2 linked regions of the Stegostoma tigrinum genome follow. The protein of the gene in region 1 purifies or fractionates together with the protein of each later gene. This does not show direct contact. Links are inferred from orthologs where the notes say so. Each region holds a gene or a part of one and is shown on either strand. Other genes may lie near its edges. The genes, in order: pidd1 and ripk1l.

The links.
Region 2: the proteins of pidd1 (region 1) and ripk1l purify together in Homo sapiens (affinity purification with western blotting; 3 studies listed by BioGRID and IntAct, with this or other methods). This does not show direct contact. The link is inferred for Stegostoma tigrinum from reciprocal best matches to the Homo sapiens genes PIDD1 and RIPK1.

The regions. Positions count from the first base shown.
Region 1 is NC_081370.1:5,301,356-5,317,865, forward strand, and holds the start of pidd1 (p53-induced death domain-containing protein 1), read left to right. Parts: upstream 1-10,419; 5' UTR 10,420-10,483; intron 10,484-10,607; exon of another isoform or gene 10,608-11,637; intron 11,638-12,034; exon of another isoform or gene 12,035-13,287; intron 13,288-16,510. Other genes in the region: large ribosomal subunit protein P2-like, read right to left, coding at 3,377-3,425, 3,512-3,634. UniProt on the Homo sapiens protein: Component of the DNA damage/stress response pathway that functions downstream of p53/TP53 and can either promote cell survival or apoptosis.
Region 2 is NC_081355.1:12,787,594-12,803,591, forward strand, and holds the start of ripk1l (receptor-interacting serine/threonine-protein kinase 1), read right to left. Parts: upstream 8,012-15,998; 5' UTR 7,915-8,011; intron 1-7,914. UniProt on the Homo sapiens protein: Serine-threonine kinase which is a key regulator of TNF-mediated apoptosis, necroptosis and inflammatory pathways.

The sequences.
Region 1 (16,510 bases):
ACACCCATCACATTTAATTCCATTATGATTTGTAGCACCTATCTTCTCGGTAAAGAATTCAAATATCTCATCAGATTTCCATTATTCCCCTTGCACGTCTCATCCCAACTGTCTTGTTTCATATTACTATTACACAATGACCTGGAATCTTCCAGCAAAAGCATAAATCAAAAGAATACTTGTCCAAACATTAAAAACTGAACATCACATAAGCCTGGGCACCACAACAGCATACTTGCTTCTAAGACAGGACATAAACATAACTGGGGTGCTTTCTTTTGGAAGAAAGATTTAACCAGGCTCCATTCTACTCCCTGAGATGTGAGCATGAAAAGATCCCAAGACACTAAGTGTGTATGCCCCATGCGTTTAATCAACAGCCATCTTCCTAACAGCAGACAAAAACAGACCATCAGGCCATTTTCACTTCCACTTGGGAAACCTTGTTACATACAAACTAACTACTTTAATACACTGCAGTGACCGACCTTGGCTGTCTGTAGTAGTTAGTGGTGTTGTGGGGATGTGAAAGGCACTTTCTGATCCAACATGGGGCGGCATGGCGGCTCAGTGGTTAGCACTGCAGCCTCACAGCACAAGGGGCTGAGGTTCAATTCCAGCCTTGGGTGGCCGTCTGTGTGGAATTTGCATTCTCCCCAAGTCTGCGTGGGTTTCCACCCACACTCCAAAACATGCAGGCTTGGTGGATTGGCCATGAAAAATTTCCCATCATGTTGAGGGCGGTGTACATTAGGTGGGTTACAGGGGGACGGGGCTGCATGGGATGCTCTAAGAGACAGTGTGGGCTTGTTGGGCCGAAGGGCCTGTTTCCACGCTGTAGGGATTCTGTGATTCTTTAAGAATAATTATGCATGACTAGCAATAAAGCACAATGACATTCAAGGGAAATAAACAAGCAGTGTTGGATGTATGGGTGCACCCATAAACAGGGCAGACAACAAAAGCCATGAATATACCAACTAACAAATAATCTCAGAAGCAAAACTATTGCTTTGCAACAAATGAAACACCAAAAAGTGCTGTCACGATTGTAACAAAGAAAACAAACAAACAGACACCCAAAAATCCTACTAAGCTGTCGATTAAATAAGGCATTCTACATATGCTGGCTGAGGATGCCAAGGGAATTCTCCCAGGTCTGACTATTGCTATAGGATCAGTGCCCACTTGAGGGAACAGATACAGCCTTGGTTGACATCTTGAGAGATGCATTCCATATATTTGTATTTCAGCCACAATAGCATGCTTAATTCTGGGGTTTAATCTACACTTGAATCCAGAATACATCACTATACCAAGGCTGACCATTGTATCTAATTCTCAGTTGACATTTAACAGAAATTAACCCAAATATTTCAACTGTTTATAAACAAGTGAAGCTTGAAGGAGCAACACCAAAGCCCTCCCAGTCTGAAAACCTAACACTTACACTGAGCTTTTGTTGGATCAAAAACTTTGCACCCTTAATTCCAGCATGTCTTCAAGCCCACAGCTGTCAATTTTGCAAACCAGTCTACTACGAGGTGCTGTATCACGTGAGTTTAACTTTCTCCCCACACAAACAGCATTCTCACCAACATCCTCCATCATGGCACAGCAATCAGGTAGGATCATATTTCAAAATTTTAGGTCCTCTCCCACAAAGCCCTCACTCAAAGATCACACTAGATAGCTGGTGCAACTGTGGTAACAATTTCAATCTCACTTCCTGGCTGAAAAGATCCATCTCTTTAGTATTTGTGACAACCAAGACCATGTGACTTCCATTTCATCACCACCTCAGGGCACAACAACAACAAAATTGATTTTGCATTGAATACAGCTCAATTTGGCAATAGTACTGAAAAAAAAAATCAGTTCATCTTGCTATATTCTCCTTAACTTGCACTCTGCTCTTTCTAGAATAAGATCAAGCCCGACAAACCGTACTTTATGCTTTCCTCTAGATTTCCAGCTTTTAAGTGTACTGATCAGTTATGTGAAGAATAACCTATTTTTCACTATTAGTACCCTGACAGAAAATTATGACAGTATGCTTTGGAATAGGGATAAAGTAGTGTGGGGTATGTCCTTTCAGTTGTTGAGTGTTATCTGCATAAAGATGTCATAAATCAAAGCTTTTAGAGCCATACAACACAGAAATACACTCAGTCCTATTTGTCCATGCTGACCAGGCATTATAAACTGATCTACTCCCATTTGCCCATTTTTGGCCCATACTCCTCTAAACTTTTCCTATTCACGTACCCATAAAAATGTTTGTTAAATGTTGTAATTGTACCAGCCTCTTCCATTTCCTCGCAGCTCCTTGCATACACATACAGCCCTCATGAAAGTTACTGTTCACGCCCCTTTCAAATCACTCCCTTGAAGTCCATGGAGCAAAATTCACAACACTGCAATTTCAGATTACGAGCTGAACTATGAGTTCTACCAAATCCTGGCACCTTTACATCCGTAAAAACGCCAGCTTCTGTTAATGTCAGACAACAAGTAAGGCGGCAGAGTGGCTCAGTGGTTAGCACTGCAGCCTCACAGCGCCAGGGACCCGGGTTTGATTCCAGACTCAGCTAACTGTGCGGAGTTTGCACATTCTCCCTGTGTCTGCGTGGGTTTCCTCCGGGTGCTCCGGTTTCCTCCCACAGTCCAAAGGTGTGCAGGTTAGGTGGATCAGCCATGCTAAATTGCCTAGAGTGTTCAGGGGTGTGCGGATTATAGGGGGATGGGATGCTTCAAGGGGCGGTGTGGACTTGTTGGGCCGAAGGGCCTGTTTCCACACTGTAGGTAATCTAATCTAAAAAAAACAAAATCAAGACAATAGAAGGACAAGTAACTTAAGAAATAGCTTATAAAAGGTCAAGAGGTTAAAAAGATGACAGAGTTAAGGCCCTGGCAGCTGTCAAACACAGTCAATGGTGGAATGATGGAAATTGGAGTTTCACAAGCTGTTAGAATTGACAGAACACAAAAATCTTGTTCAGTGTTTGGGCTAGAGGAGGTAGCCGTTAGGGATTGTTCATGCCACAGATCTGAAAACACGAGAATTTTGAGCATTTCCAAAATGAGATGTAAAGGAGATCAAGAGGCACAGCAAGTGACTGGAGAAAATGGATTGGCCACAAGTTGAATTTGAAATGTTACCTTCACTTGAGCCTTAATCAAGTTACAGCAGGGCAAAGAGCCCCTTGGTTCAGTAATGGTGAGATTGCATCTACACTTTCACTAGTGACATTTGTTATGTTATTTTTCACCTCGGTGAAAGTTATGTGCTTACTTAGCAAACCCTCTGGCATTACCTCCACAATGATAATGAATCTACTTTGGTAAGATCCACATGTTAAACAAGGTTACTCACCAGCAGCAATGACATCATCTACATTCTTGCCTTTCAACTCACTGATGACCTGAAATTCAATTAGAATATTAACATTGTTAGAAAAGAGGAAATGCAGCCAATTTCAGCATGCATGTATTCAGAAAGGTACAATACCTTATTCAGTCGCTCATCATCAGCTTCAATGCCAACACTGTCTAAAATCTTCTTGATGTCCTTTGAAGATGGGGAGGCATTTCCACCCAATACAGCAAGGAGGTAAGCTGCGACGTAACGCATTCTAAAAAAGGAAGAATTTAGCTTCAATTATACTTGTGTATAAAAATTCTTGGAAAAAAAAAGTGTTTTGATTCCTGCCAAGAGCACAAACTCCTGATTTCTTTTTCCATTTTGGTTTCCATGGTTTAGCCTTGTTAAAACAAACTTCCATCTATTTGCTAATTCAATTTTTTCTTTTTTTATGCCCTAACTCTCCCTTAGCCAGACAGCACTCAGGCCTAACTCCGTAAACACTAGTTAACCTCGCCATACAGGAAATCATACTGGGCTCATACACATTTCCAGAAACAGGTACTGTGACAAAATTCAGCAATACACAAATAGTTAGTGAGACCTTAGGCATCATCTTTCTTCTCAGAAGAGCACATACTCAACAATTCATGACCAATGTCAGTTTTGCTGTTGGGTCCTCTATATTAAATTCAAAACCACATTAAGGCATCATGAGAGACTTGCACCCAGAACCAATGCCACAAAAATTTGCCCACAAGTCAGCCAGTGCTAAGATGTCACAAAAGCAGGATAAATCCAGACAGATGGGTTAATTTTTCACCTTTAGATATCAAAGCACTGAAGCCTGCTCAAATTGTTTCCTCCTCTCGATTTATACTTATTTACTCAGTGAGCATCAGGCAAAGTTAACCTAATTATCAAGCTACCACTACCAAAAGTAGTTAATACAGGTGAATTGGTGCACAAACCTAAGAAATCTATCAAATAACATCTTTGGGATAAAGCAGAGAATATAATCAGGGATTTGTTTTTAAATTTCATCCGACAAAACAGAGAGAAAGGGCTGTTCAGTTGAGGTGGAAGAGGCACAGGGAGGAAGATGTCAAGCGTAATTAGCCTAACAAGCATTTTCACGTTGCATACGCGGACGTGTAAAATGGTTCTCTAGCAGCGTGTTGAAAAGCGGTTGTAAGATTTGTTGTAAACTACGTTATCTGCTTCATTGCTCTCCAGCCCACAGCTCCGATTTCAAACAGGCATTCAAGTCACTAAGCAATCCATTACGTGTTGGCAGAAGTCAAACTGCTTGTCCATACCCAAGAAATTGTGGACAGAAAGCAGCAAACGTGCGGCTTTACAACTTGAGGAACATCTTGCAATAGCCTCCAACTCAATCTGAACACTTCCAAGCTGCGCTGAACGGAAGACTACTTTACATGAGTGAGCACCTACCGAGGCGAGAGAGAATAGTCTGCAAAGGGGAGGCTGCTACTGGAATGGTGCTTTTGCAGCCAACATTGCCTGGAGCCGGCCCTGTGGAACGCGGGCGCTGCCAACATTCGGAAAGCGAACGCGGCAGCGTCACAATTGAGAAGGCTCACAAGCACGTGGAGGCCGCGCGGCCTTCACTTCCGGCCGAACCCCCTTTGCCCTTCGGTGCTCGGTAGCCCTCCGTCAACGAGGCCAGGGCGGCACCGGCGGCGAGGAGAGAAAGAACACGGCTGCCGCTCGAGCCCCTGGTCCGGTAAAATAAAGGGCGGGGCGGGGGCAAAAACGGGGAAATGCGGCGAACTCACCTGGCGAGCTGGGTGAGGCGCTTGGGAGTGGAGCAGGCCTAGCCTCTGATAACTCCTCACGCACTGGGCGCCGGACTGTAAAAGAGCGAGCCTCGTCCCGACTCTCAGACATAATAAACATGCGCCGGCACGCTCCATTATCATTGGATGCGCTGAGCCAGGGGCGGGCCAATGGGGACAGCTGTGTGAATAACCCTCCATCTCATTGGTCACAAGTTCTGGTAAGCGTTGTAAGGCTGCAGTGAGGATCAGCGTCTGGAATCTGAGATAATGGGAACTGCAGATGCTGGAGAATTCCAAGATAATCAAATGTGAGGCTGGATGAACACAGCAGGCCAAGCAGCATCTCAGGAGCACAAAAGCTGACGTTTCGGGCCTAGACCCTTCATCAGAGAGGGGGATGGGGAGAGGGAACTGGAATAAATAGGGAGAGAGGGGGAGGCGGACCGAAGATGGAGAGTAAAGAAGATAGGTGGAGAGTGAAGGTGGGGAGGTAGGGAGGGGATAGGTCAGTCCAGGGAAGACGTACAGGTCAAGGAGGTGGGATGAGGTTAGTAGGTAGATGGGGGTGCGGCTTGGTGTGGGAGGAAGGGATGGGTGAGAGGAAGAACCGGTTAGGGAGGCAGAGACAGGTTGGACTGGTTTTGGGATGCAGTGGGTGGGGGGGGGGGGGGGGGGGGGGAAGAGCTGGGCTGGTTGTGTGGTGCAGTGGGGGGAGGGGACGAACTAGGCTGGTTTAGGGATGCAGTAGGGGAAGGGGAGATTTTGAAACTGGTGAAGTCCACATTGATACCATATGGCTGCAGGGTTCCCAGGCAGAATATGAGTTGCTGTTCCTGCAACCTTCGGGTGGCATCATTGTGGCAGTGCAGGAGGCCCATGATGGACATGTCATCTAGAGAATGGGAGGGGGAGTGGAAATGGTTTGCGACTGGGAGGTGCAGTTGTTTGTTGCGAACTGAGCGGAGGTGTTCTGCAAAGCGGTCTCCAAGCCTCCGCTTGGTTTCCCCAATGTAGAGGAAGCCGCACCGGGTACAATGGATGCAGTATACCACATTGGCAGATGTGCAGGTGAACCTCTGCTTAATGTGGAATGTCATCTTGGCGATAGGGGTGAGGGAGGTGGTGTGGGGACTAGTGTAGCATTTCCTGCGGTTGCAGGGGAAGTTGCCGGGTGTGGTGGGGTTGGAGGGCAGTGTGGAGTGAACAAGGGAGTCACGGAGAGAGTGGTCTCTCCGGAAAGCAGACAGGGGAGGGGATGGAAAAATGTCTTGGGTGGTGGGGTCAGATTGTAAATGGCGGAAGTGTCAGAGGATGATGCGTTGTATCCGGAGGTTGGTAGGGTGGTGTGTGAGAACGAGGGGGATCCTCTTAGGGCAGTTGTGGCGGGGGCGGGGTGTGAGGGATGTGTTGCGGGAAATACGGGAGACGCGGTCAAGGGCGTTCTCGCTCACTGTGGGGGGAAAGTTGCGGTCCTTAAAGAACTTGGACATCTGGGACGTCTTATCGTGGGAGCAGATGCGGCGGAGGCGGAGGAATTGGGAATAGGGGATGGAATTTTTGCAGGAGGGTGGGTGGGAGAAGGTGTATTCTAGGTAGCTGTGTGAGTCGGTTGGCTTGAAATGGACATCAGTTACAAGCTGGTTGCCCGAGATGGAGACTGAGAGGTCCAGGAAGGTGAGGGATTCCAGCTCCCTCTCCCCATCCCCCTCTCTGATGAAGGGTCTAGGCCCGAAACGTCAGCTTTTGTGCTCCTTAGATGCTGCTTGGCCTGCTGTGTTCATCCAGCCTCACATTTTATTAGCGTCTGGAATCTGTCATTTTAGCAATGGGACTTCAATAAGTTATTGTGAACATGTCCTTGGTGTCTCTCTGGAGGACTGAGAGCAGAAGGATACTTTTGATTTTCCTGTCTCCGTGCAAATAGAAACTTCAGAAGCCTTTCACTGCGGCTGATAGATATAAAAATATTACTACGTTGTCTATGATAGCCACACGTTCAATCTTATACGCAGATCTCTATTAAAACCAATATATCAAACGCATACTGAACGCAAAATACATGAACCTGAATATTTTAACCCGCAAGATTCCTTTTAGGATTGGTAGGAAACCGTTAAAATGTGCAACTTGGCCATTATTCTTAACTTGCTTTCATTGTTTATGACTTGCTATGAAGATTGTCTCAAGAGAAGGATTATGAGCCACAGAGTCTTTCGTCACCTCATCTCTGTGTAGAGGTTTTGCCGACAAAACCAAGTTTGCATCCTGAACAATATGCCTTCCTTATAATTAAACTGCTAACCACATTGATATCCATATTTCAGTCCGACATCTGCAGGTTTATGAAATGTAATCCATGTTATTATAATAGTGGACATTTGTAATATACAACTTACATTGTGATGCAAAGTAACAAAATTTAAATAGCCCTATAGAGTTAATTATGCCCAGAACCATCCTGTCACTATGCCATGAACGTATTTGTTTTATGAAAAGAGTTCACAGAATTACTGTGGAAACATTCCAGATTTCTCATCTGCCAGCTTTAGGAGTACAGTGCTCAAAAGTTCAAAATAATGTACATGGAAACACTAAGTTAAAACATATATATTACACTAATCAAAGTAATATCTTGGAAAATTAGAGATAATGGGAACTGCAGATGCTGGAGAATTCCAAGATAGTAAAATGTGAGGCTGGATGAACACAGCAGGCCAAGCAGCATCTCAGGAGCACAAAAGCTGACGTTTCTGGCCTAGACCCTTCATCAGAGATTAGTTCTTTTCCATCCTCCATACCCACAGCACATGATGGAGTCTTTCCTTGTGCAGGAGTCTTATGTGAGAATTGTGAACTATTCCTGGCACCACAGCTGTTAAACCAGAAATCATGTTTTCATGGGTTAATGGCAAGCCTGCCCTACACATATGCCTAGTAACTTGCTCTAACCATGATTCCACATATCGTATTGCAGAGTCCAATTGATAATAACATGCCTGTAGCTTCCCCCTGGCCAAAGCTATCATGTGCCATCCTCCACAGCTAGTAAAGCAATTCACCAGTCACTCCACAGTAGCAATGATGAACGGTTTGCTCAGGTCCTTGTTAGGTTAAGTACCATGTGACATTCACTTTAGCAGTTTATATACATAAAAGACAGAGTGACTTAACTTCAGGCTAACTGGTAATGTATGGTATTTTCAATTTCTATCCAAATTTCAAGTATCAAGCAAATTTGCATTTTAAAAACATTTTCCTGCAGATTCATGCATTAAAATCAGAAACATCAAGAATAGCTTGTTTGTAATGTCGTAGCCTGTCAGTTGGTTGACAAGTGAGAATGCTGTGAGCACTTTATTACTTAATAATATAAAGCTGAGTCATCTCAATATTTGCTCACTATTGTAACAAACTCAAATAAAACAATCAAATAAAGCTTACTTTCTTAGACTTCAATTTAAATCATGTTGACAAAAACTAAAGGCAAGTGTTCTGCCATTTCACCAGATTAGTTTCAATAGGCATTTGGCTTCTGGATTACAATACTGTAGTACTGTGGGATATCAAATTATATCAAGAGGGAGGCAATGGTCTAATGGTATTATTGCTGCACTGTAAATCCAGAGACCCGGATAACATTCTGGGGACCAAGGTTTAAAACCCGCCATCGCAGATGGTGCAATTAAAAATCTAATGATGACCATGAATCCATGTTGATTGTCAGGAAAAACCCATCTGGCTCACTAGTGTCCTTTCGGGAAGGAAACTGCCAGCCTTACCTAATCTGGCCTACATGTGACTCCAGACCAACAGCAATGTGGTTGACTCGACTGCCCTCTGGGCAATTAGGGATGGGCAATAAGTGCTGCCTAACCATCTTGTGAATGAATAAATAAAAAGCTTATTGCCACAGAAGGCAAGTAGTCTATAAATTCCAGCCACATTAAAGAAAAACTTTTTAGAGTGAATATACAATTGATGGATACGTACAATGATGGATGCAAGTTAAAAAAAAAGTGACTGGTTTCCCATTTAGATCATAACGTCTTGCAAAAAGACACGTCAAGTCTTGAATCTTAAGAGAAGACTCTTTGGAATAGAGACTAACAGTTTCTCTCTCCACAGATGCTGCCAAATATGCTGAGTTTCTCCAGCACTTTGTTTTGATTTCAAGTCTCAACTTGCATAACCAATTGCAAGTATTGCATATGACATTTGTGTTGGAGGGAATGGTGGAGATATTGCCTTTGAACTGTACTTGCTTAACTTGAACACACGAGTTCATTTTCATCTATCAAAATCACTCAATGACAGTGATTTCTCTATTTGGGTCAAATCAAAATTTGTTCTCCCCTCCAACCCACCCCCAAACACACACACACACACGCTCCTTTGCAAACTAAAGGTTGGCTTTCAGATTGTCATTACATCCAAGTGTGGAACATATGGTTTCTGTGCTCAGCTGGCTGTAAAATTGTCTCTGGAAACAAGAATAATGAAGTAAAGTTGAACTTTGAGCATGCTCTCAATGCCAGGTATATGATACTTTGCCTGAATCCCTGGCTGGAGATTTCCCTATCAACTGATGTCACCACAGATTCCAAAGATGGGACGTTTCTAATGTGATTCATGTAGGTGGTCCAAAGAGGTGCCCATGAAGCAGTGATACAAGAACCACTGGTAGACAAAGCTATACATTAGCCAGTGTTAAATTACTATACATGTGTTCAATTTCTGTCAGTTACTAGTACCTTTTGTGTAAAAAGAGCAGCCTGCAAAGGTAACAAAATGTGGAGCTGGATGAACACAGCAGGCCAAACAGCATCTCAGGAGCACAAAAGCTGACGTTTCGGGCCTAGACCCTGCATCTGCACGCCTCACACAATTATGATTCTGCTGCAAATGCCTCCCCCACTTAGAAGTTTGTTAACTTTTGATCGATAAAGTGCCATTCAGTTTAACCCACTCTTGCAGCTGTTGATCCCTAACTCTGTAGCCAGTTACAGAATCTCAAGCGCACATGCAACCTACACAGCAATTTCAGAACGATCGGGTCTAGTTCTCTTACTTGATATACATAAACATAAAAGCGACAGATTTACCAAGAACTCCAGCTCGTTCAGGCGCCATTTGCTAAGCATTTGGCGCGAGAACTCGTGGATCTAGGTTTGAAGGCTCGGTGACGTACCATCTGTTGCTCTGAGAGAGTTCAGGTGGGCAGAGGTCACAGCTCAGACAAGGAAGCGCGACACAGGGAGGGCCAGTGCAACTTTTAAGTTCAACCACCATGACCAGGGGAGTGAGCGCCGAAGCAAAGGTATTCTAGCCGCTGTGGAACGTTTGTATTATCTTAACATTCTAGCGATGGAACGCCGGAAAGTCGTAACATTCTATACTTGGAACTTGGCAACATAGTAACTCCCATTCATTGGGACACTGTCGTGAGGCGGGAAGGCATAAGCCCGCGGGCGCTTCCCAATACTCTGGTGAGACAGCACTGTAACCACATCCCGCAGTCACCCGGACACTGCTTTAACCCAGTCGGAGCCGTTTCATTTCGGAAAAAAAGACTTTGTAAGCAAATCGCCTACTCACCACTGATTCTTCTGCACGGAGTGAACTTATGTTGACGAGGTATCAGGAAAAAGCTTGTACTTTCTTGGCCACGAAACTTTCTATATAGGCCGAATGCCTTTGGTCTGTTTTCGAGAAGTTCGTGACTTTTTTTTTTAAAAGCCTATTCATTCTTAAATAACTGTCATCTTACGCTGATGTATGCGTAACTACTGCAGTGGGGTCTAAAACATTATTGACTTCCGGACATGAAAACACCGACGCTGCTTAAAGGATCGTTATCCCCTGCTTAGAGGAAAGTAAGTGGGTTTTTTGGCATTGGCGGGGAATTAAAGGAGCTGGCTCAGTGTTAACTTGCATTAACATGGCGCCTTTAATGGGGAGAATTCCTTCAGCTTCATGATAAAGCACGAGGAAAGCGAGAGAGATTAGTACGGCCAAAAGAAGCTTGGTCGATGAGATGATCTTTTGACAATGAATGCATTTTCGCTTCGTTTGTGCATTGCGACATTACAAATTGACTACATTTAATCGTGAAGTAATTAATGTAATGTAGCAAATAATTATAATTAAATAAGCAAATGTGGTAACTACATTTAAGGCGCCGGCATCAACCACTAATGAATGTTAAAAGCCAAAAGAACTGCGATATTAGTAAATCAGAAATAAATAAAAATTGCGAGGGGGAAAACTCAGCAGGTCTGGTAGCATCTGTGCTAAGAAATCAGAGTTAACGAGGGTCACTCGACGAAACGTTAACTCTAATTTCTCTCCACAAATGCAGCCAGACTTGAGCTTGTGCAGCAATTTCTATTTGTCAATTAATATTCGTTGATGTTGCTGGAGAACTTAACTTTTCCAGAGGTGTCACCTGCTTGAAACTGACCTTCCGACCAGGTATTCGTCCTGTCAGTGACCGCGTCTGTTTCCATCTCGCTAATATCACCCAACTTCGTCCCTTCCTCGATTCATCTGTTACTGAAATCCCTCATCCTCAACTTTTTTTGTTTTTTTAAAAAAAAATCCCGCTTTGGCTATTACAACATACTCCTGACTAGACTCAATAGTCTGAGTTCGGCCCAAACTGGGGATGACTGGTAGTCACTTCAGCTGAGGGTCACCACGCCCCAAACAAGGAATGGCTGTGAAGACAGCGCCTTCGTGGTAGTGATAATGGGAACTGCAGATGCTGGAGAATCCAAGATAACAAAGTGTGGAGCTGGATGAACTCAGCAGGCCAAGCAGCATCTCAGGAGCACAAAAGCTGACGTTCGGAGATGCTGCTTGGCCTGCTGTGTTCATCCAGTTCCACACTTTGTTGCCTTCGTGGTAGTCTCGGTGTGAGAATTGAACCTGTGCTCTTGGCATCCCTGCATTGCAGGCCAGTAAACCAAGCTAACTTAAACCCCTCTCTGTCTCCTCCGTGTCTTCAGTTGACTCTGATAGAAGGGCAGCCTAATGTCTTAACAGATAGTAATCTCGTACACCCATTGCACCTGCTATTAACTTAGTGTAAGCAAGTTGTATTTTTTTTAACATGCTGATCTTTGTTATGAACTCACTCTGTGACCGCTTCCCTCCCTAATGCCAAAATCTCTTCCAGCCCCACAGCCCTCCAGGATATCTGCACTCCTCTCTCTGGTTTTGGCTTCTTGATCGTCCCTGATTTTAATTGTTCCACCATTCTTCAGCTGCCAGATCCTAAGTTCTGGAATTTCCTCCTTTTAAGATGTTTCAGAAAACTTATCTCTTTCTCAAAGCTTTAGGTCATTTGCCCTAAAATCAGTTGTGTATCAATGTTTTGGCTTATGAAGAGCCTTGTTGTGCTTTGTTACAAGAAAGGCACCATGTAAACACAACAGTGTGGCACTGAAGGCACACAGCAGGCCAGGCAGCATCAGAGGATTTCAAATGATTTCTGAAGAAGGGTCCTGACCCGAAAGGTCACCTACCTTCTCCAAAGCCGCCTAGCCTGCTGTGTTCCTCCAGCTCCGTGCTGTGTTATTGCTTGACTCCAGCATGTATATATTTAATATACAAGTGTTTGTAAAGTGACAAATAAGGGCTTTGATTTTACAATTCATGGAAAAGCCAGCACCCCTGATAGTGAGATAACAAAGTGTAGAGCTGGATGAACGCAGCAGGCCAAGCAGCATCAGAGGAGCAGGAAAGTTGACGTTTCGGGCCTAGATCCAGCATCTGCAGTTCCTACTACCCCGATAGTGCAGCAGTTTCTCCACATTGCACTGATGCTTCAGCTTTTGATGATGTGCTCAAGTTCTAATGTATCCTTGACTTCCTACTTCAGGAAATGTTCCTTTTTGCTGAACCAAGCTGACAGTTGGGTCTTTTTTTGTGTTTAGTTTCCAGAGAGAAGGTCTGAAGTGGCCAAAGGATCTGCCACCACTGTTAAGGAAATGAAAGAAAATTGCATGCAAATCTTGAACTTAAGCAAGAAGTGTTTGGGCAATGATTTGAGGTTGAAGGAGATACAGAAATAGAGGATGAAACAAGTAGTATTGTTGGTCGGCTGTGTCTGTGGTAATGGTGAGTGGAACAGGCTATGTGCAGAGAATCTGTGACATTTTGAAGATTAGGTAACAATGTGGTGGTTGGGAATTTCAGCAGCTGAGTGACTGAGCTTAGTTCTCTTCCTGCACCAGTTTAACAGATGCCAGTTTCCTATCCCTACTCATCTCTTTTTACCAGGGATATTTTGTTTGTCTGCATTTAATCTCTGAGATGCAGCCTCTCCACATCTTCCTTGAAAGACTGTGTTCTATGTGCTTTTCATCTTTACGGACTGCACGTGTTATGTGTATCTGAGGCTGCAAATCTGCCTACTAGTCAGCTCTGGTTCTGTAATACAAAAATCAGTTGGTTTGCAGTAATGTCTGTTTCGTGAATTGAAATATATTTTACTATTCTAAATAAACTGACCTACGATATAATCAATGCCTGATAATCATTGGTCTATAATCATTAACATAACAGGCCAGACCCCATCCTCTGCCACCCGTCTCTGTTGGGTTAAATGTTCTTTTTCTAAATAGTTTCTCCTTCGAACAAAAACAAAGTTGCTGGAAAAACTCAGCAGGTCTGGCAGCTTCTGCGAAGGAGAAAACAGTTAACGTTTCGGGTCCGGTGATCCTTCCTCAGAAGGGTCCACAGCATCTGCTGTTCTTCTGGTTTTTAATTCCTCCTTTTGAGTACTCTTGCTTTCTCCATTAAAAACGATGCCACTTTGGAAGACCGAATGACTTGCCACTGCGTCTGCCTTTTTCTTGTGGCAATGTGAGACATTTCTTGTTCAATCCTAGTTAGGTCTCTGTCTCCCCTCTCTTTCTAATAGAGTGATTGATGATTGTATTGCTTCTGCTTCATGTTCTTCCCCAAAATGGGAAATTTCATTCTTTACTTCCAAATTTCACCTTTTTCATACTTCTGTCCATCACTAATTCTTCCCATTCTTGTGTTAATTTCAGTGGTTTGGTTGACCAATTATATGCCCACTTAGTTCAACGGTTACCTCAATTACATTTTTTCATATCCCACAGTAAGAACACAATACTGGTCTTATAATAGCCCATCTTTTGATTAGACAATGGTCATGGAGTGCAATACCTGCAGATTCTATCCATGGCTCCCAATATTTTTAGACAATAGGATCAATTCTTCTGCCATCCACAGCTTTTCTAAACCTGTCTTTTATTAACAGAGAACATCTTTCGGCAAAATAGATTTAGGTTCAAAAAAGTGTGTAATGAAATAAACTTGCAAAACATATCAACATTAGTCCATTTTTACAGTTATTCTAGGAAAAGAGAATGGTCAGAAGCAACCTTGTAAATTGATGGGGCGACATTGTAAATGAAAACATCAAATGACAGGAGTGTCAAATAATGGATATTACATGTTCATTTTCCAGATGTGCCAGAGATTACAGGTTTCTGACACCACCTCCTACTGTCCCTTGATCATGATCCCACCACCTGACCACCAAAACATCATCTCCCAAACCATCAACAACCTCATCACTTCAGGTGACCTCCCATCCACAGCCTCCAACTTCATTGTTCCCCAACCCCTCACCGCCCGCTTCTATCTCCATCCCAAAATCCACAAACCTGACTGCCATGGTTGACCCATTGCCTCTGCCTGTTCCTGCCCCGCCGAACTTACTTCGACTCCATTTTCTCCCCCTTGGTCCAGGAACTCCCCACCTACATCCATGACACCACTCTCACTCTCCACCTCCTCCAAAACTTCCGACTTCCCTGGTCCCCAACACCTAATCTTTACCATAGACGTCCAGTCCCTATATACTTGTGTTCATCATGGAGATGGCCTAAAGGCCCTCTGCTACTTCCTGTCCCACAGGCCCGACCAGTCACCCTCCACTGACACCCTCATTGGCTTAGCTGAACCCGTCTTCACCCTTAACAACTTCTCCTTCAATTCCTCCCACTTCGTACAGACAAAGGGGGTGGCCATGGGTACCCGCATGGGCCCAAGCTATGCCTGCCTCTTTGTCAGTTACGTGGTGCAATCCCTCTTCTATACTGGCCCTAAACCCCACCTCTTCCTCTGTTCCATCGATTGAATATATCGGTGCCACCTCGTGCTCCCATGAGGAGCTCAAGCGGTTCATCCACTTCACCGTCACCTTCCACCCCAACCTTAAGTTCACCTGGACCATCTCTGATACCTCTGCCTTCTTCCTGGATCTGTCTGTTTTCATCTCTGGCAACCACCTAGAAACTGATATCCATTTCAAGTCTACCGACTCCCAAGGCTACCTAGAATACACCTCCTCTCACCCAGCTTCCTGCAAAAATGCCATCCCCTATTCCCAATTCCTTTGCCTCCGCTGCATCTGTCCTGAGATGAGGCATTCCACTCCTGGATGCCCCAGATATTCTTGTTTTTCAAGGACTGCAACTTCCCCTCCACAGTGGTTGAAAATGCCCTCGACTGTTTCTCTCACATTTCTCACAACTCATCCCTCACATCCCCTCCCCGCAATAACAACTAAAACAGAATCCTCCTTGTCCTCATGTACCATCCCACCAACCTCTAGATCCAATGCATCATCTGTTGGCACTTCTGCCATCTGCAGTCTGACCTCACTATCGAAGACATTTTTCCCTCCCCACTCTTTTGTCTTCCTTCTGCAGGGACCACTCTCTCCATGACTCCCTTGTCTGCTCCACACTCCCCACCACCCCCGGCACACTTCCCTGCAACCGGAGGAAGTGCTACACCTGCCCCTGCCCCTCACCCCCATCTCAGGCCCCCAAGAAGATGTTCATTTGCACATCTGCTAATGTGGCATACTGTATCAGCTGTTCTCGATTGAGGTCTCCTCTGCATCAGGGAATTGCGAACAAGGAATCCTCAGAGGCTTGGAGACCGCTTTGCGGAACACCTACGCTTGGTTGGTGACAAACGACTGCACCTCCCAGTTGCGAGCCATTTCAAAACCCCCCCCCACCCCCAACTCCTTAGAAGACATGTCCATCCTGGGCCTCCTGCAGTGCCACAATGATGCCACCTGAAGGTTGCAAGAACAGCACCTCCTATTTCGCTTGGGAACCCTGCAGCCCAATGGTATCAATGTGGGTTTCACAAGCTTCAAAATCTCCCCTCCCCCACTGCATCCCAAAACCAGCCCAGCTCGTCCCTGCCTTCCTAACCTGTCTGTCCTTCCACCCGCCTCAAGCCCCACCTTCTATCTACCAGTCTCATTCCCCCACCTTGACCTGTCCAT
Region 2 (15,998 bases), on another chromosome or scaffold:
TAAAATTGGAGAAAGGGCTCCTTCATTTTGAAACACCACCTCTTTCACTTAGCTTCCATAGCAGTCTACTGCTTCTTCCAAGAAAGTGGGGGTCAGTTAGCTGGATGGCTGGTTTGCGATGCAGAATGACACCAAAAGCGTGGGTTCAATTCTCGCATGGGCTGAGGTTACCATGAAGCACTCGCCTTCTCAACATCTCCTCTCTCCTGAGGTGTGGTGATCCTCAGGTTAAACCAACAGTTGTCGCTCTCTCTCTAATGAGACAGAAGCCCGATGGTCTGGTGAGACCAGGGTGACTTTTACCTTTTAACTTTCAAGAAAGAAGGCTACTGATTGGCTTTCTAACTTCCAGCAATATGCCCTACTGGATGGCAAGCCTGCCCTCTAGAAATTAATTGGTTGCCCTCAGGAAAAATATTCCACATTTTTCAGCTTCCATTTCGGCCCAACAACCGAGTTCAGGAGCCTACGAGGTAAATCCCTGTGTTCAACTTGCATTTTCATCATCTTCAAATTCTCAGTCATGTTCAATCTCTATTATTTTACCCTTTGAATACACATCTTACTTATCCTCCGGGTTTTTGAGATGCAAATTCTGATCTATAGGCTCCGACTGCTGCTGTCAAAGTGAAGTCCCTCCAACAGCTAGGGCTTCCAGGATTTTAAGTCCAAACAAAGCTTTGCAAGATTTAAGTGGACAGTGTTACTGGAGTAATTAGTTAGGTTGGAGGAAACCCAAGAATACCTTTCAATGGAATAAGTCAGACCAAAGTATCCCAAATTGATAGTAAAGAAAGCTTCAGATAAATCATTGATTAATCTCATTGATCAGTTTCTGAAATAGTGAATCAAGAATGGTCCTGAACTACTTCATTTTGTTCGATTCTGAAAGACCCATACCCTTGCTCCCATCATCTTATATTGGCAGAAGCCGCATTGGTCTGTTTGAACAATTACACAGCAGTATTATGAATTGTTAGTGATGGCACAAAAATCATGCACATACATTGAGTCATAGACAACGCTAACTCTCCCTGGCAACAGCCTGAAACTAAATTCATCTGTTTGCAATATTGGTTGATCCAGAGATGGCTTTCAGACCCTGATTTTGGTGCTATCACTAACACTGTTTCCACCCCTGTAATATTTTTCAATTTTATTCTGATCTCAACTCATCTGCTTCTGAGAATGTCAATCCTGCCTTTGTTACTCTAAACAGGGTATTCCATTGCCCACCTGGCTGGTCTCCCACCCAATCCCTCTGCCACTTGAGGTCATCACATTTGCTGCCATATCTTTACTCACACCAAGTCCTGTTAGCTGACCACGCGTGATTTACTTTGGCTCCTGGTCAAGGGATGTCTTAATTTTAAAATTCTCATCCTTGTCTTGCCCCTCCCTGGCTTCTTCCCTCCTCATCGTTGTCATCTCTTCCAGCCTTACAAACCTCTGAGCTAAGGTTGGGGTGGGGGGAGGGGGTGAAATAGTGGCACAATGGCTCAGTGGTTAGATTTGCTGCCCCACAGTGCCAGGGACCCAGGTCCACTTCCAGCCTCGGATGGCTGTCTCTGTGGAGTTTGCACATTCTCCTTGTGTTTGCATGGGCTTCCTCTGACAGTCCAAAGATGTACAGGTTAGGTGGATTAGCCATTGGAAATAAAGGGTTACAGGGATAGGGCAGGGAAGTGGGATGTACTTCGAAGGGACAGTGCAGACTCAATGAGCCAAATGGCCTCTTTCCACACTGTAGGAATGTTATGATTCTAAGTGCTCCCTTCTATTTCTGGTCTTTTGTGTAGTTTTAATCACTTCACCACTGGTGGCCATGCCTTCAATTGCCAGGCTCAAAGTCTGGAACACTCTCCACAAACACTCCATCTCTCTTGACCTCACTTTCATCCTTTAAGACTCTTCTCTCTCCGCCTAAACTTTTTGTCATGCGCTTATACGGTTTGGGTCACACTTTAAGTCATAGAATCATACAGTATAGGGGAGGCCCTTCAGCCCATCGAGTCTGTACTAACAAAAACCACTCTAAATCTGCACTTCCCAGCACTGGCCCTTGCCTCGAATGTTATAACATTACAAATGCTCACCCAAGTGCTTTCTAAAAGTTGTGAGATCGCTAAAGCTTACTTCAAGAGGTGCCTTGATACATTTGATCACATTGAAGACACTAAATAACTATGTTGTTGTTAATCTATTGGTTGATTAAAACAAAATTATTTGGTAACTGTCATTTCCTTCTCTGAAGAAAAATTTCCTCTTTTCCTCAAAGCAAAGTCCAGGCAGTCCATGGTTTGCCAATGGATTCCGTTCTGGAGTTCATTCACAAGTTGCTTTGTACGCAAGTCCAAACGTGATGCAGGACAATATAAAGGAGCAGTTTATATATCAGGTCTTTAAAATTACACCCTTACAATGGGATCGTAATTGTAAGTCCAAGTCTAAGTCAGACGTTCATAAATTAGGGATCCCCTGTACAGAAGGTTCTGGAAATAGACAATCAGAAGAACAAGTTGCAACTGTGGAGAAATAGAAATAAAAGGGATGAAACTCATATTCTCATTTTTTGCAAGTTCTACCAGATCTTTTGGAGGGGTTGCTACAATGAGGCCTAGTGAGATGTCTCACGGAACACACCTCATTATCTATTTACCACCAACCCCTCCCCCTCACCCCCCTGCAGCATCCTGACAGCCAATTCTAGTCCCATCTTACCGTAGTCAGAACAACTTCCCGTTCAGCAGATATTTGCCAAAAGACCAGCGTCCCTCGCACCATCTTTATAAAGCCTCTGCATACCTGCCGGCAACCCGTCATTGCCTCTCACTAGCAACATCAGGGTACAGTAACCACAAGGTCAGATCACCCATGACACAGCCAACATGGCTGATGCTCTCTTACCCGTACAATCCCATTCTCTCACTTTAGTTGCCATCTGAACAACAGGCCATGCAGTTTACCTGTTCATAGGTATATCCCGCATGTAGGCCACCCTCCCCCCATCACCACCCGATGTGCTTTTCCCTAAGCCCAGTAATCACCCACATTTCATCATTATGCTGCAAGGAAAGAAACCACAGCTAGGTAATGTTTGGACAAAACATGAGCTTTAATTGACAGCCAGCGAAAGCGAGCACAAATGAATAGTGGCGGCAGTTCATCCTCACTAAATGAACAAAATGCTTGTTTCTTGACCTCAACAACCCATGATCATTGTCTGTAGCCATTTTGGATCCACTGGAACCAGCTGTCAATCAGGTCCTCTCTGCCTTGTAGGGCCCAATGCAGTGAGCCTTGCCATCCATAAGGAGGGCTTCCTCTTCCTCAACCTTCACCTTGGATGACTGCTCTTGTTCCCCTGGATCCTTAGTGTCTATCACATCACCTCACTGCCTGACCCAAATGTGCACTGTACGTAGCCTATTACATATAGCTCCGGAATCCACATTACAGGAGGCAAGTGATTTCGCTGGAGAGGATTTATCAGGATGTGGACTGGAAACCCTCCCTTCCATCTGAAGTTCTTGCTTGTATAACCCTCAGTTCATTGCCACCCTCTGGATCAGCTTTTCAGGCCCGGCTTATCAGAGATTCTGCTGCTCGGATGTCACTCACCCTGACTTTGCTGATTTACGCCAACCCTAGGTTCCCCTAAAATCAGAGAGAGATTCGGATTTCGACTCCCCTTGGAGAGTAAAGAAATCCTTCCTGGTGTCACCTTCTGAATGGTCCTGGCTCAGATTTTAAGGTTATACCTGTTGTTGTTGACTTGCCCCAGCAGAGAAAATAATTTTACTCCACTTTATCAAACCATTTTAAACAATTAGAGCTGCATCTTCTATACTCAAGTGAATGTAAGCCATGCCCCTATGCAAATTGTCCTTCTAATGCAATCCTAATTAATCCTTTTAAGGCTTAAGAATGTTAGATCAGAGTGTTACCTACCATGTGGCATCAAGGAGCCCAAGCAAAACCAGACTTGGTGGAACTGGAGGGAGAATTTTCTACTGGGGGGGTTGGTATCATACTTGGCATAAAGGAATATGGTTATGATTGTTGGAAAGGAGTCATCTCAGCTATAGAACATCTTTGCAGGATGTGATTTCTGACAATCTGCACTGCATACTCTCACTGGCTAGTGGTTTCCCCCCCCCCCAATGGACTAGTGCCCAGAGTGAATGCAGGCGCAGGCACCGTCACCCTGGTCTCTGCAGCTAACAGCTCCTGTAGCAGTGCCCACCCACAAACCAAACAGATATTTCACAGAAATGTAACAATGGGAGCAGCACGAAGATGAGTCTTTGCCCTGTTTTTTACTAACAAGCATGCTTTAAAGAGCTACTGGGCGATTGGATAGGCCACATTTAAAGTGATTTGCAAAAGTAACAAAAGAGGATATGAGAAAAGTACAGTTTCACATCACATTTGGTTTGGGTCTGGAATTCACTGCCTGGCAGTGTGGTGCAGGCAGGTTCAATCGAGGCATTTGAATAGAAACAAAGTGCAAGTGTATGTGGCAGAAAGCAGAACGATGGCGCGAAGTGAAAAGCTCATTTGGGGAGTCAGTGAGATACAATGGGCTGATTGGCCTCCTCCTATGCAGTGACACGTCAGTGATTCTGTGATGCATTTTAAGCATCAATTTGCACAGTCACAGCATAATTCCCACTCTGCTCATCCCTGGTTCCGAGCCTCTCATCGTTTTCTTCTTAATTCATTCATGGGATGTGGGTATCATTGGCTGGGCCAGCATTTATTGCCCATTCTGGGTTATCCTGGAAAAGGTGGTGGTGAGCTGCCTTTTTAGACAGCTTCAGTCCACGTGCTGTACCTAACAATGCCGTTAGGGAGGCAGTTCCAGGAGTATGACCCAGTGACACTGAAGAAAAGGTAATATATTCCAGCTGGGATGATGAGCAGTTTGGTGGGGAACTCATAGGTGCTGGCGTTCCTTGTCCTTCTAGTGGTCCTGGGTTTGGAAGGTCTTTCTCAGGAGCCTTAGTGAATTTCTGCAGTATTGCTTATAAATGCTCCAAACTGCTTCCAAAGGTCAGTAGTGGAGGGAGTGACTATTTGTGGATGTGGTGTCAATCAACTGGGCTGCTTTGTCCTGGATTATACCAAACTTCTGGAGTACTGCTGGAACTCCCATCACACTCCTACCTTGTCCTTCATAGATGGTGGAGAGGCTTTCAAGTATTAGGTGCTGAATTGCTCACAGGAATCCTAGCCTCTGACCTGCTGTTGTTGCCATAGTATTTATATGGTTAGTCCAGTCTAAATTCTGAACAATTTTAACCCCCAGAATGTTGATATTATGGGATTCAGTGATGATAATGCCATTCAATATAAAACAGCAACATTAAGTTCTTTCTTATTGGTGATGGTCATTGCCTAGCATTTGAATGGCACGAAAGTTTCTATCCTCTTGTCAGCTCAAGCCTGGCTATTGTTCAAGTCTTACTGCATTTGAACATGGACTGCTTCAGCGCCTGAGGCATCGCGAACAGTGCAATGTTCAGCACTATCATCAGCAAATATTCCCACTTCTGAGCTTACGATGGAGAAAGATTATTGATGAAGCAAGCTGGATCGAAAACACTACTCTGAGGGGTTCCTGTGGAGATATGCTGGAGTTGAAATGATTGACTTCCAACAATCACAACCATCTTCTTCTCTGCAAAGTATCATACCAACCAGTAGAAAATGCTCTGTCTAATTCCACCAAACCTAGTTTTGCTCGGTCTCTTTGATGCCACACTGTAGAAAACACTTTCATCTATGGCCTGACACTGCCCCAAAAGGAAGCAATTTGGACAGTTTAACATTGCTTTAGTACTTTCGCTGGAAGATCAAGCTAGACCATGTGCTTAGGTTTCTGGAATGAAGCGTCAAGTCACGATCTTCTAACATGATAAGAAATCAGGAGTAGGCCACTTACCAAGAAGCCTGTTCTGCCATTCAATTAGACCATGACTGATGCAATTGTAGCCTTCACTTTATTGACTGCTCCCAACACTTTGGTCAATGAAAAATCTCTCTAATTCCAGGCGCTAGTCTATTCAATGTCTCAGCCTCCAAAGCTTTCTGGAAGAGAATTTCTGACATTAAATACCTTCAGCAGGAGAAATTTAACCTAACCTCCATCATAACTGGACAGCCCTATCATTTAACTGTGTCTCCTGATTCTAGATTCTATGCAAATAGGAAGTGACCTCTCAGCATTTAATTTACCTCAGATTCCAATAAATATAGGTCAAAGCAGCCCAACCTTCATTCCCTTGGACAGGTTAGATGCACGCAGAAGGTTTTCCCTAGTTGGGGAATCTAGAACCAGTGGACAGAGTCCCAGGATAAAAGATAGGCTATTTAGGCCTGAGGTGAGAAAAACTTTCCTCACTCAAAACCCGTGGAACTCCCTCCAGCAGAAAGCTATGTCGGCCAACTGACTGAGTATATCTGAGACTATGGCGGATTCCATTGCGATTTTAAAGGCACCTAAAGGGAGAACATAGAACATTACAGCGCAGTATGGGCCCTTCGGCCCTCGATGTTGTGCCGGCCTGTGGAACCAAACTGAAGCCTATCTAACCTACAGTATTCCATTATTATCTGTACGTTTATCCAACGACCATTTAAATGCCTTAAAGCTGGCAAGTCTACTACTGTTGCAGGCAGGGCATTCCACGCCCTTACTACACTCTGAGTAAAGAATCTACCTCTGACATCTGTCCTATATCTGTCACCCTCAATTTAAAGCTATGTCTCCCCGTGCTAGCCATCTCATCCAAGGAAAAAGGCTCTCACTGTCCACCCTATCTAATCCTCTGATCGTCTTGTATGTCTCTATTAAGTCACCTCTTAACCTCCTTCTCTCTAACGAAAACGAGAGGAGAAAGTGAGAATATAGCATTGAGATAAAGGATTAGCCGTGGTCATACTGAATGGCACAGAAGGTTCAAAGGGCTGAATGGCCTACTATTACTCCTTGTTTCTATGATTCTTTGTTTCAAACCAGAAATCTACCCAGTCAACTTCTCTAACTGCTTCAAGCAGAGACTGCACACAGTATTCTGCCCACATGATAAGTCTGACACTAAATCTACCGATTTTATTTTGAAGTTAGAACATTTGAACATATTCATTTACACAACAAGTCAACATCACATAACTTGACTCTGCTGAAAGTTCAGAGGAAGCAAGTGGATCAGGTTAGGCCAATACTGAGATGGTTCAAATCAAAGTAAAACCTGTTCGCACTGTCAGTGAACAAACAACTCACACAGTTAGAGGGCTACAAGAGGGTGGTTAAAACAGCGCATCTCCAGTCTCTTCGTAGTTTGATTTCAGTCGACAGAATTGATGGGGAGTGGATGGAAAGAAGTTGTGTTTGGGAAATCGGAAGGGGTGGTTGTAAGAGTTGTGCTTGGGCAGGAGGGGGAGAAGTTGATTGGTAAATGGAGAGATTGTGGTTTGCAGAGGAAAGGAAGGAGTTGGAGGGGGTAGCGAATTGTGTTGGGCGAAAAGCAGTGTTTTTGGGGAAGAGGGGTTGTGTTCTTGGCTGGGGGAGGGGGGGTGCGCGTGGAAGGGTCGTGATTCCCAACATCTCACGAACTGTAGAACAGAAACTGGCCGCGGAGCCCGAACTGTCCCTTGCCCAGTAAGTCGCCATTACATTCAGCGGAAAGAGAACGTCGGCGCCACCTTTCCAAGTGCTAGAGTCGGCAGGAAGGGCCGAATAGCCGCGGGCACAGTGAGGGAGGGGGTTTCTACAGGGAAATCTCTGCAGTTCTCGGTATCACTCTTACAGCCCGGGCGGAGTGAAAGCTTCGAGCCTCCTGAACCCTCTCCCTGGGGGATGTAGGGAATAGGCTCTCAGTCTGTTCACCTTCTTCCTGGTGTCCTTACCTGCCCGGCCTGTCCTAGGGAGATCAGCTACATTGCTCTTTCCGCGTTGTTCTTTCCTGCCTACATCCTCTTCCGTGTTGCAAAACAGCCTTCGAGCGCCGCCTATTTGGGAAATACCCTGTAACAAGATCAGCTGCAGCACCTCGTGTCTTAATGTCGAGCAGTTGTTATAAAGTCGTGTGAGTCTGTGTATCTCAATTTTTTTTGACATTTTGTTCCATTAAGACCAGAAAGCTATGCATGTGCATTTCATGTTAGCTCGGTTGTCTGCAAGTTCTGTAGATGACTTCAGTGCATGGAAACACATTTGCAGCTTTCATTTGGTCAGGAAATGCTTACCCCCTTTAAGTTCCAGTAAAAGCAGATGTTATCGATATCGTGATAATGGGAACTGCAGATGCTGGAGAATCCAAGATAACAAAGTGTGGAGCTGGATGAACACAGCAGGCCCAGCAGCATCTCAGGAGCACAAAAGCTGACGTTTCGGGCCTAGACCCTTCATCAGAGAGGGGGATGGGGAGAGGGTTCTGGAATACATAGGGAGAGAGGGGGAGGCGGACCGAAGATGGAGAGAACTGGGCTAGTTTTGGGATGCAGTGGGGGAAGGGGAGATTTTGAAGCTGGTGAAGTCCACATTGATACCATTGGGCTGCAGGGGTCCCAAGTGGAATATGAGTTGCTGTTCCTGCAACCTTCGGGTGGCCCAAAACCAGCCCAATTCGTCCCCTTCCCCCCACTGCACCACACAACCAGCCCAGCTCTTCCCCTCCACCCACTGCATCCCAAAACCAGTCCAACCTGTCTCTGCCTCCCTAACCTGTTCTTCCTCTCACCCATTCCTTCCTCCCACCCCAAGCTGCACCTCCATCTCCTACCTACTAACCTCATCCCACCTCCTTGACCTGTCCGTCTTCCCTGGACTGACCTACCCCCTCCCTACCTCCCCACCTATACTCTCCTCTCCACCTATCTTCTTTTCTCTCCATCTTCGGTCCACCTCCCCCTCTCTCCCTATTTATCCCAGAATCCTCACTCCATCCCCCTCTCTGATGAAGGGTCTAGGCCCGAAACGTCAGCTTTTGTGCTCCTGAGATGCTGCTGGGCCTGCTGTGTTTATCCAGCCTCACATTTTATTATCCTGTTATCGATATAGTTCAAGTTGAGCGGTGACGATGTTTACCCGCCCACTGTCCTTAATTGCACCATGTTGTTTAAAAACTCTTAAACTTCTGATAGCTTCCCAGTGCTGATTGAGGTCTAGCTACACCATCGCTGAGACCTGCCTTGTAGTTAAAAGCGTTGCAGCCAGCACATTGGTATCCTGTAAAGGAGTTTGTGACCCTGAGGTTCCTCATGGGGTCTGAAGCAACTTTAGGGGATGGAGGACAGTCAGCAGCAGAGGAACCAACTCCGTTAGTTTCTGAAACCTCCCTGGACAGTACGTGGTTTCCAGTGAACATTGCAAGGTGTGGAAATCTACCCGTGATCAGGAGTAGTCTGGACAGAATAGAGGGAGAAACCATTCCCACTAGCGAGAGAATCAGAAATGAGAGGGCGGGGATTTAAAGTGATTGGTGAAAGAAATAAAAGCTCCATATGCTTTTCCACAGAATGAGTGATCAGGTTCTGGAACATCTGTGTCTGGGTGTGCTGCATGCAAGTTCAGTTGAGGCATTCAACAGGGAATTAGACAGCTAACTGAAAAGGATGAGTGTGCAGGGTTCCAGGGAGAAGGTGGGATATAGGTACTGAGTGAGTCGTTCATTCAGACAGCTGCTGCAGACAGACTGGTAAGAATAGTCACCTATGCTCTAATTCTGTGAATCAAAGGTACAGTTCCTGATGGCAATAAGTATCCCTTACCCCAACTCCATTCCATCATGCTGCTTGGCCTGCTGTGTTCATCCAACTCCACACTTTATATGGTTAGTCCTGTTCAGTTTCTGGTAAGCCCCAGGATGATGATAGTGAGGGATTCAGTGATGTTCGTGTCAGTGACTGTCAAAGACGATGGTTAGATTCTGTATTGTGGAAAATGGTCATTGCCTGGCATTTTTATGGTGCAAATGTTACTTGCCACTTTTCAGCCTTAGCCTGGATATTGTTCATGTCATTATGCATTTGGACATGTACTGCTTCAGTATCTGAGGAGTCATGACTGGTGCTGAACATTGCACGATCATAGCAAACATCCCTATTTCTGACTTTATGATGGAGGAAAGGTCATTGATGAAGGAGCTGAAGATAGTTGGATGAAGGACACTATCCTGAGGAGCTCCTGGAGCTGAGATGACTGAGTTTCAACCACCATAGCCTCTTCTTTTGTGTCAATTATGACTCCAACCAGCAGAGTGTTTCCCTCTGATTCCCACTGACTCCAGTTTTGTTAGGGCTCCTTGATGCTGCATTCAATCAATTGTTGCCCTAATGTCAAGGGCAGTCACTCTCATCACAGCTGAGGTTTAGCTGTTTTGCCCATGTTTTCACTCAAGCTGTAATGAGGTCAGGAGCTGAGTAGCTTTGGATGAATCCAAAGTGGGCATCGTTGAGCAGGTGCTGCTTGATAACACTGTTGATGGCACCTTCCATCATTTTTTTTGGTGATCATGAGTAAACCTAGGGGACGGTAACTGGCTGGTTTGAATTTGTCCTGCCTTTTGTGTACAGGACATACCTGTGTAATTTTCCACATTGTCTGGTAGGTGGCAGTATTGTGGCTGTATTGGACAGCTTTTTCAGTGATATCAGAGATAATAGGAAGTGCAGATGCTGGAGAATCCAAGATAATGAAAGTGTGGAGCTGGATGAACACAGCAGGCCAAGCAGCATCTTATGGCAAGTTCTGGAGCACAAGTCTTCAGTACTATTACTATAACGTTGTCAGGGCCCTGCCGTATCCACTGCTGCCACTTGTTTGTTGATATCACGTGGGATGAATTGAATGGGCTGACGGCTGGCGTCTGTGATGCTGGAGACCACTGGAGAAGGCTGAGATAGATTGTCCACTTGGCACTTCTGTCTAAAGGCTGTTGCAAATACTTCAGCCTTGTCTCTTGCACTGATGTGCTGAGCTCTCCTATTATTGAGGATATATTCATTACAACACGAGAGGTCATTTAACTGTGGGGTAGAATTTTCCCAGTCCCTGAATGATGTGGACAATGGCAACTCAGTTAGAAAAATGTGGCGAGAATGGAAACATGAGATTCTCAAACTTAAGAAGAGTTCAGAGTTTGTGCATTAGGTCTCACTGGTTAGGTGAGAGGCTCACTCGTGCAATGTGAGGAGCCTAGTTGCAGGCATTAAATGTCTCTCTCTTTTTGCCTAATCTTTTTGTCATGCAGTTTGTCATTTTACCAAGGCAGCAGAGAGAAACCGGATGGTGACAATCCTGACATAATTCAGAATGGGTACCTCCTGGCGGCAGCTTACTGTTGTCTTCTCAAGGCCTGAATCCTGATAAGAATTCTCCAGCTTTGCGGGACATGCCCCACTAGAAGGGACTGCATGCATCCCAAATCCACGGAGACTGGCATTGGCCAAGCATCAGTCTCTCCATATCATTGTGCCATATCTCCGAATCACTTGGAATACAGTTCTACACTTCACTACGGCACTTTGGATCTAACTGACACCTTACAATGTGATGCTGCTGCCAGGCCACTTTGTCCACAGGGACTGGCACCCATCTCCTGCATCAGGACAGGGTGCAGCTCAGGGTTCTTAGCTTGCTTTATTCATGTCCGTTCTCTTGCCTAATTGTATGGTCACAGCATCTCTGGCTAGCCTTGCCAATTTTCACATTGCTGCCTCATTCAGGACCCACAGGGCTCACAGTACATCTGTCCTGTCTTGCCTTTCAATGCAGGCTGAAAGCCAGGCAGCTGGTTGCGGTTGTCAACTGTGAACGGTCAAGGGGATGGTCATGTCACTGGATGACATCTTGCTCTGTCTAGGCTACACCTGCTCCATATGCCAGCAGCTAACACGGCAAACACAAGTTTGGCACAAGCTGTAGTTCTGGGGATAAAGACATGGAAAATAGGCACAGGGGGAGGCCATTCAGCCCTTCAAATTTACCCCACCTGCATATTGAAGTCCTTCTTAATTAGTCTAATAGTGCCTTTTTTACATGTCTTTTCTATCTCCTGATTTATTTTCTTACCCACATCCTGACTACCATTAGGGTTAATAGTAGACAACAGGGGAAAAGTGGACCAGAAATGGTTACATATGCAGAAGGCAGTGGTCAAATGAGTGATCAAGATATATTTGATTGGTGAAGGTTTATGGAGTTGGGTAAAAATCAGTGTTTAATGTGAAACAGGATCATTCTCAAACACTATGTACAGGAATTCCTGAACAGCCAACTCTATCTGAGATTTGTACTGTCCAAATCAGAGCACTGGTTCATCATTTTGCAATTGCACAATTGATAGTGACATGTTCCCTGTGGAAGTTCTCAACAATCAGGGTACTGTCTGCGTCCTGTGAGACCAAAAACAAAAACAGAAATTTCTGGAAAAGCTCAGCAAGTCTGGCAGCATCTGTGAAGAGAAATCAGAGTTAACGTTTTGAGTCCAGTGACCCTTCCTGGGAACTGGGCCATACTTGCAAAGCTCAGAACACAGAGCCTGATATTAAAAGTGATTCTGCAATCGGACAGCATTTGCTACCTGATCCTGAATGTGTGAATAATTATGCTATCAACCTACTTAGGATTGTCAGTCAGGCTCGCAGAACGGTGCTAAAAGCAACATAAACTAAATCACGGGGCCCAGTTCTTTGCAAATAGAACATGTGCAAAATAAAAAAATAAGTGACAACTTTTCTCTGGTTTATTACTCATGGCTGTTCCTTGACCAGAGTGAAGCTACTTTTTAAAAACAAATTAAGCAAAACATGGCAATTAGCTGTCAGTCATCATTTAACTGCTGTGTTATCCATGGCATTGCTTCTACCAATCAGATTCCACTTGGCAAACAATCAGAACTCTCCTCTCAGCGCTGTTTTCTTTGGACTGGCAATTCTTGTAAATTGTCCTGATAACTACAAGGCGTAAAGCTTTAACCAAGTGTATCTTCATTTGGCAATACTCGAGAAACAGAATCGCACAAAGAAATAAATTAAAAGTAGTCAATGGTGATGAGTGATGTCAAAATTAGTAACATGAAACAGAAATTAGATCTGAAAAGAAAAGGACAATGCGTATCTGTGTAGTGATTGGAACCAGGTCCAAATGGATCCATTGACTCAGACCCTTGATTAGGCTTCTTAACCTGGGTCAATCAGAGAGCCCTGGCTGACAGGTATAAACAGAAGATTCAGAGAGTCTCCTCAGTCAAGGGCTGGAGAGCTGGCCTGGGCCTTTGTACTGTGACTGACTTGGTGACGTGATGGCAGCTGCTGTGCAGTTATTTCAACCTGCAGGGCCACAAAGTTTTAGTATTAAAAGTTTGCATGTATTTAATGTGGTGAATGGTCACTGGCTTCTCCAACATTTTAAATTCAGCCAGCTGTAAATTCATCCTGTTGAGTGGAGATTTTTCAGATGCCAAACATGTTTCTCAATCAAGTGGGTAAGTGACCTGCCCGTCTGAACAGTAACTTCCACCCACTGTCCAAAAATACTCATTCAATTCTGCAAGGTTTCTGTGACGTCACCTGATAACACTTAGAATAGGTCCAGCTTAGACTGCAACCTTACTTCTTGAATACAATGGGTTAATTCTGTTCTTTTAATTTATGGCCCATGGGCATCACTGACTAGGCCAGCATTTATTGCTCATCCCTAGTTGCCCCAGAGGGTGGTTAAAAGTGAATCAAGAGTGCTGTAGGTCAGAATCACATGTAGACTAGTTAAGGAGGGCAGTTTCTTCCCTAAAGGGTGTTGGTGAACCAGTTGGGTTTTTTGAACAATAAGTAATGGATTCATGATTAGCATTAGACTATTAGTTCCAAATTTCTTTTGAAATTGAATTCAGTTTCCACCATGGCAGGATTCGAGCCCATGTCCCAGAATATTACTTGGGTCTCTAGATTAATAGTCAAGCAATAACAAAATAGTCAAGCAACAATGCCACTGGGCCATTGCCTCCCCAGTTCATAACATGCATTTCTCTTTAGTAATTCCTCCCATTATTGCAAATTATTTTACAGACCACATCAAAATAGAGAGATAATTTATAATATTCATATGCGGGGAATTTATCAGCTACTAGGGAAAGGATTCACTTCTCTTGTGAAGAAAGTTGGACCCAGACAACATCAGCTAATGAACACTAGTGGATTGCCATTATCAATCGGGGAGCATCATTGAACTTCCAGATATGTTTTTACGCATAAATTAATTAATTACTGAACTTGCCACCATCGATGTTACTTATAATAACACTTCCACAAGATCTTAATACAAGTACACTCTCTCAAGTAAACTTGAGCACTTGTTTGAGTTCTGATTTTCATTAAATAATTAGGAATACATCAAGATCCCAGGATCCAAAAGCATGTTTTGCTTTTCACGGAAATTAAATGTACAACGATCACCTTTGTTGATAGCTACTGCACATTTATTTGTGATTACATTTACACTAGTGTGATTTGAGCTCGAAGTGTTAATGGCTGTTCAGGTCTCTCAAAATTCTGAAGTATCTATTTTATTCACTCACATTTTAAACCTTGCTTCTATTCTGATGTTGTAAGAATCTGTATGTTTTCATATCACCTTGTTCAATTATTTGCAATAACTTTAGTTTTAACAAGAATGATTCCTGCAAGCCTTCAGTCAAGAACTGGGAATCAAAGTGAAAACAATTGCAGATAACCAAGTCTTCTGCACAAATGTTAAACAGCTGTCCTAGGATGAGTCAATATTTGAGGCTATAACTTCTCAATCTAATTAAATTCTTTCCATGGATTTCTTACTGCTGGGCATTCTTTAGTAGCTCTGTGAGTTTGCGGTCTCTGCTAAATCTCCTATTTGGCTAAAACATGGGGTCTGGTTTTAATTGTTCGTAACTGACTGAGTTCAAATTCACAGAATGTCTCCATTGTTTCACTTTACTGGAAATGGAAATGAAACTGAAACTGATATTGTCAGCCTTCAACCAGAAACAGACTTCACAGGCAAAAGTTACAAATTGATGGAATAACAAGATGTAGATCTGGATGAACACAGCAGGCCAAACAGCATCAGAGGAGCAGGAAAGCTGACGTTTCAGGCCTAGACCCTTCTTCACAAATTGATGGTCTGGGTTATGCTATAATAAATCAGAGGCTTGTAAGAGCAGTAAACTACAGGTAAATTTGGCTACAATGTGTGCAGCTAAATGCTGAAATCCAGAGGTTTATGCCAGAGATCGCATTCTCTTCTACAGTGTGCTCCTTTCCAGTTGGACTCTCTGATAGGTGAATTTATGGAACTGCAAGGTCCTGCAGGGATTTGAAGAGAAGGATGAGAATTTTAAAATCGAAACAGCATAGACTGTGAGTAGAGTGGTGATGGTTGTCCCTTTTTGACCAAGGTTACCAGAGATTATCAGATAGAACAGTGCCTTTATTATGGGGAGTTAGAGACGGAGAATTCCTGGAAGGAGTTTGTAAAAATAAAGTACTTATTTAAACTGGGAGATCTGGGAGGGAGACAGGGCTATTGTAAATGGAAAACCAGAAAAAGTGACTGTCTCTGTGGATGAAGGAAGGGTGTAGGAGGCAGTCCACTGCTTCACACTGCAAGGGTTAAGAGAGAGAGCAGTGCTGCTGTGGAAGCATAATGCCACTGTGAACTGGGGCAAGTTGCTGGACAGTAAAAAAGGCCTGTGTGACAGGACAGTGGTTGAAGGGACAATACTGTTCCCGACTACAATGGGTATCAAAAGAGAAGGCTTTGTAAAGCAAGAAATGGGGGAGGAAGAACGTCACTCTGAACTGGAGGGGTGAGTGTCACTGTCAATGGTGGTATTTGGAGTAGGAGAATTGAATTGAGATGTTAGCTTGGAGTGCATCACCTAAATGGATTTTTATTTAAACCTGTCAATTGTGAAATGAAGATGATTGAAATTAACTAGAATAGCCCGTATTTAATT